Linked DNA regions of Mus musculus. The protein of the gene in region 1 interacts with the protein of each later gene in a biochemical or structural test. Links are inferred from orthologs where the notes say so. Each region holds a gene or a part of one and is shown in the gene's direction. Other genes may lie near its edges.

What was found.
Region 2: of the proteins of Crebbp (region 1) and Carm1, one has a biochemical effect on the other in vitro, tested with the Homo sapiens proteins (4 studies listed by BioGRID, with this or other methods). The link is inferred for Mus musculus from reciprocal best matches to the Homo sapiens genes CREBBP and CARM1.

Annotation. Positions count from the first base shown.
Region 1 is NC_000082.6:4,112,335-4,115,980, reverse strand, and holds part of Crebbp (histone lysine acetyltransferase CREBBP), read left to right. Parts: intron 1-23; coding exon 24-203; intron 204-1,017; coding exon 1,018-1,207; intron 1,208-3,646. UniProt on the Homo sapiens protein: Acetylates histones, giving a specific tag for transcriptional activation. Mediates acetylation of histone H3 at 'Lys-18' and 'Lys-27' (H3K18ac and H3K27ac, respectively).
Region 2 is NC_000075.6:21,545,527-21,549,272, forward strand, and holds the start of Carm1 (histone-arginine methyltransferase CARM1), read left to right. Parts: upstream 1-1,367; 5' UTR 1,368-1,481; coding exon 1,482-1,704; intron 1,705-3,746. UniProt on the Homo sapiens protein: Methylates (mono- and asymmetric dimethylation) the guanidino nitrogens of arginyl residues in several proteins involved in DNA packaging, transcription regulation, pre-mRNA splicing, and mRNA stability.

The DNA of each region.
Region 1 (3,646 bases):
GAATGACTGTGATTTCTTTGCAGCTTTCTCAGGCAGCAGCCAGCATTGATAATAGAGTCCCTACTCCCTCCTCTGTGACCAGTGCTGAAACCAGTTCCCAGCAGCCAGGACCCGATGTGCCCATGCTGGAAATGAAGACAGAGGTGCAGACAGATGATGCTGAGCCTGAACCTACTGAATCCAAGGGGGAACCTCGGTCTGAGGTAGATGCTCCCTCAGCCTTAGTCCATAGCTATGTATGGCAGCTTTACCATATATCCTCAGGACCTAACGTGGTGTTGGATATTCATTTTAACTGTTCCAGTTTTCCACAAATCTTTTTGTTAATGTTCTTCTTTCATTTTTAGTTCTGCAGAAGGGGTGGTAGATTCATTTACTGACTTAGAGCAGAAGTTGAAATCAGTAGGCCAAGAGCCAAATCCAGCCTGGGAATGTGTTTTGTTTTTGTGGGGGTTTTTGTTTTGTTTTGTTTTGGTTTTTGGTTTTTGGTCTGTGTTCAGTGTTTTAAAAATCATGAAGTTATAAATAAAACTTTAGATAGTCTGCTTTTTCTCAAAAGTTGAGCAACTCTGTCATCAGTACCCTTATACTCCTTTATGGCAGCCAGTGTCATACGTGATGTGGGTGCCACATGGTAGTGGCATGGGCTTCCCAGTTGGTCCAAGTCTCATATCACACTCTTCATCTCAGAGCACAGGGTCTTGATCCTTATTTTGATTTTTCAAGGTACCCTTATTTTCAAACTAGATGTACCAATATTTTACTGAGCATGTAAACATACTTTTATATTAAAAAAATTAAATTAGAATTATGATTGTACTGATGCTGTATAAAGTAACTAAGTAGACATCAGACATTTTGTTCCTTTTCCTAGTGGGAAACTAAAAAGAATATTTACAGTGTCTTTGACTAAGGGAGCACTCAGCAAGCTTGTGTGCTGCAGTCGTCAAGGGGAAGCTGGCCTGGGTTACAAAGGTCTCATAGACACCTGTTCTCTGTGACTCTGTCTTTCTCAAGATGATGGAAGAGGATTTACAAGGTTCTTCCCAAGTAAAAGAAGAGACAGATACGACAGAGCAGAAGTCAGAGCCAATGGAAGTAGAAGAAAAGAAACCTGAAGTAAAAGTGGAAGCTAAAGAGGAAGAAGAGAACAGTTCGAACGACACAGCCTCACAATCAACATCTCCTTCCCAGCCACGCAAAAAAAGTAGGTCACGTTTTCTGTAATGTTAGACTAAGCTGTGCTTCCACACCAAAGATTAAAAGCTGAGGCAGGAAAATAATTACAAATTCCTTTTCATGTTCCTTGTCTCTCATTCTCTAAGCTTTACCTTTGGAAATGGAGACAGCAGGGTGGCAGAGATTGCTGGGCAAACATGAAGCCCGGGGTTTGGATTCTAGCACTCGTGTAAAAGGTTGGGTGTGGCTATGCACACGTCTCTCTAACTCCAGCACCGGAGGAGTGGGGCTGACACAGGAAGTTGTAACTTGCTTGCCACCAGTCTAACTCCAGACTCAGTAAGACCTAAAGGAATAAGGCAGGGAACCAGTTGTACACTAGCATCCATGAATGCATGCAAAGGTGTGTATACCTGTACACACTCAAGTACCATAGACAGCCTTCCCCACATCCACACATTCACAGAGAGAAAAGTAACAGTAACAGACTGCGGCTAGGGAGCCAGCCCTCAGATGAGATGTCACTGACTAGAGAGGCAGACTTGGAATGCTTCTGGGTCTCTGAGCAGGGTAAGCAGTGTAGGTTCTGCAGAGCCAGGGAAAAGGTGATGAAGGAGTCAGGATGGAAAATGAGCAAAAATGCTGTAGTTTGAGACAAAGGATCACTGTCGATATCTGTGTGAGCACTGGGGGCCAGTAAGGAGCTGTGACTGGGCATGAGGTGGGAATGTGAAGCCACAGATGTGTGCACTTAGCTCAGGACAAGTAGAAATTGGGTATAGTTCGGCTAAGCTGTGTCCACAGTAAAAAGCAATAGGGTGTTGGAAAATTGTCAAGTAACCCTTGCTTAACAGGACTCTGGAAGTTGAGAGCTGCAGGTGAAAGACACGTTTCAGAAAGAGTACAATGTTGGTGGCTGAGGTAGTAAAGCTGCAGAGCTAGGAAAGGCACCTACTTCTTTTATAGTCGCCGGGTCAAAGAGGTTTTGAGTATGTGGATCATCTTGTCATTACTTTTTCCTTTTATGAAGTAAACCAGAGGAAAAAATATTTGATTTGTTTAAATTAATAAGTTTGTTAGTGGTATCATTTACCCCACCCCACCTGGAGAATAGAACCAGAACTCTACCTGTGGTATTGCTAGCCTCATTTAACACATTTGTACAAAAAAAAAAAAATCTTTTCCAAGCAAAAATAATCCAAAAATAGGACATTATTTTGTAATCTTTCAATGTCTTGAAGAGAGTTAGGCAACTAAATTAGACTCTTAAGAATAATATTTTTGGGGGGGTGGGTGGGTATGGGGGACTTTTGGTATAGCATTGGAAATGTAAATGAGCTAAATACCTAATAAAAAAAATTAAAAAAAAAAAAGAATAATATTTTTTGTGCGGGCGTGGTGGCACACGCCTTTAATCCCAGCTCTCAGGAGGCAGAAGCAGGCAGATTTCTGAGTTTGAGGACAGCCAGGGCTACAGAGAAAAACCCTGTCTCGGGGCGGAGGGTGGGGGGGAGTAATATTGTTTGAACTGTGTGAGGAACATCCATTCTCATTCCAATAACTTACTAGTGATGAGAGGAATGATACGTGGCTCTTTGGGGTAACTGGGGATAGATACTCTGGTAGATGCTTCAAGAGACAGCTAGCAGAGGCTCTCGAAGGTGAGTTGACATCATCCTTTGTGACCTGCAGAGTGCTAGGTCATTGAGTAAGTGCTGACATACCTGATGCTGTAATAACAACCCTTCCACCCCCGCTCCTCCAAATACTCACATTATCAGTTTCATAAAGCAAATCTTAAAAGGTTTTGAGAAATATCAAGCTCATGTGGCAGATATGTTTTTAAAAACATTAATTGATGACAACCCCGATTTTACCCTTGGCAACAAATACTGCCATTTGTCCTTAAAGTAACAGCTCACTTAGTTTTTGGTTGTGTTTTGTTTTGTTTTTAAAGAAAACTCTGACACAGACTAGAATTGAGTAACAGTTTTCTATCTGCCACCCTCCTTAAGATTTCTGTTTTCAGGGAGAAAAGCAGTTCCTGCTCTCAGCCCCAGTGCTGATGGTGCTGCTGGTTCCAGAGACTTGATCACAGAGCAGCATGGAGGCACACGCATCAGGGATGTGCTCAGCTGGCTGCCAGTCTTTTTCCTCTGAGTAGAGTGGCCACAAAAACTGAAAGAACCTCCCATTTTTCTTCTCAGTTAGTACTGTTGACATAGTGTATTTCTGCACTCTTCGGTAGTTTAATCTCAAAGACCCCTCAGTGAGGCTTTGCACAGTGCTGGAACAGTCAACAATGATAGATATGTTGTCACACCTGTGCTTTATTTTGTTTACTATCTGCCATGTGGGTCTTAACTACTTAAGTTGTAACAGGGTTGATTGGTAAACTGAATTGTTTAGTTTATGTAAAACTGCTTTGTTGAGCCTTCAGTATCACATATTACTGGTTACTACCACA
Region 2 (3,746 bases), on another chromosome or scaffold:
GGCTGCCTGAGATTGTGTGCTTGCACCATTAGATGGGAGGGATGACTTGGGAAAGGGTTGAGTCTTTTGTGAGTCTTGCGGAGGCCCAGGAGGGGGTACGTAAATTAGAGTTCTAAGAGGCCCAGCAAAAGTGAACAAGTGACTGGCCACTGTGAGTTCACTGGGGGACCTGAGAGTTAACTAGTGAAAAGGAGAGGTCCTAGTGGAGAAGCTAAAGAATTAAAGTTACTGCCTTGAAGTTCTTTGTGAAGGCCAAGCTCTGGAGCGCGGCTTGAAAAGCCTTTATCCCAGAGCAGCATGGGAAGGGGCCCCAGCTGGGTGCGAGCCTGCAAACCAGAGCACACCTATCACAGGGCCTTTTCTTACCAGTGGGACGGGATCAAGGCGGAGCTTACCTGGGAACGTACAGGGCGGAACCTTAACTTGGGGGCGTGGCCGAATCACCTGGGTTTGGAAACGGTTCTTGTCTTTCCTCAAGCTCAGGAGAGGTTGTTTGCAGGACACTGGCCCGGAGGGGCCCGAACTCTCCGAGGGAGGGTTTCGTGGATCAGAACACCGTCCCTTGACAAAAAGATGCAGAGCACCGTCTGCATTCTGCTAGTAACCGTCCCTCCTGGGGGCGGAGCCAGCCCTCCTCCGGGTGTATAAAGTAGCTGAGCGCCTCCTTCTGACAAACGCCTCACCCCCAAGAGTACTGGGGGAGTACGCAGCACGCCAGCCTAGGGGCGGAGCTCAGCCCTGGAGGAGGCGTTTCTTCTTAGTTCTCCGACTCACGCCTCTCCACTTTTCTTGAGCTATGCTCACAGTGGCACAAAGCATGGTGGTTCGCTCGCTGCCGGCCTGTGGGTGGGTCTGGCCCCAGAGGCGTGTCCGAGCGGCCAAGCATTGCCTCCTGAAACGCCCTGTGGTACAAAGGGCTGTGGATCACCGTGGATCACCGGTCGCCGGCCCGGAGCGGGGGGTGGGGCCGCCTGATCATTCCGGGGGCGTGCCGGGAAGGCTAAGCACCGCCTCCCGACGCATGCCCTGCCCATCTCTCCAGAGCTGTGCGCGGTGGCACAAAGCGCCTCGGTTCGCACAACGCTGCCTCGGGGCGGGGCTTAGCATCCCTGGGGGCGTGTCATACTGCGGGGCACCGCCTCCCAACGTAGGCGCCTTCACCCGGCCTGCCCGGGAGGCTCAGCCACCTCACAAAGCAGCGACCGTTCCCGCGGGGTGGGGCCGGCCCCACCCCCGTCGTGCTTGCGCTCGCCCGGCTCCCTCAGGCGCCAGGAGGGGGCGCTGCGCCACCGAGCCGGCCCGTGGCGGCGGCGGCGGCGGCGAGGCGTCGCGTGGCCGGCAGGCGGCGCGCTGCCAGCCTCGGCCTCGGCCTCGGCCTGCGCGGCGGCGGCAGCGGCGGCGGCGGCGGCGGCGGCGGCCTGGGCCCGGGTGCGGCGGTGGCGGTGGCCGTGGTGGCAGCGGGGCCTGGAGCCGGACCTAAGATGGCAGCGGCGGCAGCGACGGCGGTGGGGCCGGGTGCGGGGAGCGCTGGGGTGGCGGGCCCGGGCGGCGCGGGGCCCTGCGCTACAGTGTCTGTGTTCCCGGGCGCCCGCCTCCTCACTATCGGCGACGCGAACGGCGAGATCCAGCGGCACGCGGAGCAGCAGGCGCTGCGCCTTGAGGTGCGCGCCGGACCAGACGCGGCGGGCATCGCCCTCTACAGCCGTGAGTGCTGGGGACACCCTGGGGACGGCGGCGCACGAGGCCGGCGGCGCGGGCGCCCGGGGAGGGGGCAGGCGGCGGAGGGTTGGGGGGGGGGGGGGACTCGGGCCGAGCTTGTACACGCGGCTCCTGCTGCCCGCGGGCGAGATAGCAGAGAGGGTGTGCGTGGGGACCTTGGAGCCCGAAGAGGGGCGCGGGAAATAAGAGTCGCGGGCCTGAGATTTGCAGCGGGTGGGGTAGGGGGGCGCGTGGCAGGAAGTGGGGCCCCGAGGATTCTGGGGGGATTGTAGAGGGGACTGGAGAGAGGGAGTGATTGGGAGGGCTCTTGAGCGGGTGTGGTTTGTGGATCTCATCTCAGGGGACATCCTCCTCACACACGGACATTTGAAAAGTGGTTTTCAGTGTGTAACACCGGGAAGACTGGGTGCCGCCCTTGTGGAGGACTTGGGATTCGGGATCCCCCACCCACACACCCACCAGGGTGGGTAAACTTTGGGACTTAGGACAGAGCCCTTCCTGATAGAGATTCCCAAGCCCATCCCCCATGGAAACGTGGAAGAGGGGAAGGCCGGCTGGCTGATGGCCGGCTTTAGAAGTCAAGAGGTAACAAGCCACCTCCCTCGCCACGCGCCTCCTGTCTTTTTTAAGAACGTGAGAAGCTGGTGACATTATCAGAAGCTGCTTCAAAAACTGACATTTCAGTGGGGAAAACAAGGGGGGGGATCACTAGTGTGTTTTCGAAGTGCACCCCCCCCCCCAGCTTTGTAGTTCCACCTTTCATTCTTCCTTGCTCTTGCTACTCTTTCTTCTGACGGATTCCTCAGATGGATTTGCTCTTGTGTTTCACTGGTCTTTGTCTCCCAGGATTTCGTTCACTGATGCTCTTAAGGGGCCACCAAGGAAGATGGGATCGATTTTAACCTGTGGGAATTTTTTTCTACTCCTTGGTAATGGGGTGTTGTTGGAAAGGGAAATGTGTGTAGCAGTCTGTTCAGACTGATTCTCCTCTCTTTGCCTTGACTTTGAAACACACAGGAGAAAGAAGTGTCTGGTTCCCAAGTGTGGGGCACCTTTGGGGGCTTGGGCAGAGCTGGGGTCTCCTTGATCACACGAGAGAAAGGGGAATTTCACAGACTAAAGAACGAAGCTCTTTAGGACTACAGACCCCTAAGCAAGCCAGTGGTGTTTGGCTAGCCAGGGTACCAGGGCTTACCTGGAAAGTGTTCTGGGGACCTGGGTGTGATGGACAAGCCTGTGGTCCCAATACTTTATAGGCTGAAGCAGGAGGATTCAAAGTTTGAGTACAGTGTGGGTGACATGGGCAAATCCTGTCTGAATCACCAAGACAAAGTTCAGGTAACTTGGGTTGTTTAAATGAACTTGATAAAAACACCGTTTTTATAGAGCTTATTTACAGAATTGTTATTTCCCACATAGTCTCTAACGCCCAGCTTCATCTATTAGAAGCTAATGTTATTACAGAGGAGACTTTACAGTTTGTGTTCTTGTTGTGACAGGGCATTTCTGCATAGTCCTGGCTGTTCTGGAGCTAGTTATTTAGACCAGGCTGGCCTCAGAGAGAGAGCTCTTCCTTCCTTTGCCTCTCAAATGCTGGGATAAAAGGTATATGCCACCATGCCTGGCTATAGGAGGATCTCGGTTTAAGAGCTGCTTGGCTACAAAGTGAGATCTTGTCCTCAGAAAAGAGAGCACAAGTGAGGTGGACAAAAGACAGATGTTCAAGCCAGACTTTATTACTTGAGAGTCTCTGACGCTTTCCTTCCCCAAATAATGACAATGTTGAGAGTTATACAGAATTACATATACATACATGCCTCTACAAATGGACTACGTATAAATGAAAGGATGTTGGAGAGAAACCCATGTTTCTCAAATCCTCAGTCCCAGATACATTTTTGGGGGCCAGAAAGGATATTCACCTCTAGGCCAGTGGTTCTCAACCTTCTTGATGCTGTGACCCTTTAACATAGTTCCTTATGTTGTAGTGACCCCCAGACATAAAGTTAAGTTGCTACTTAATAACT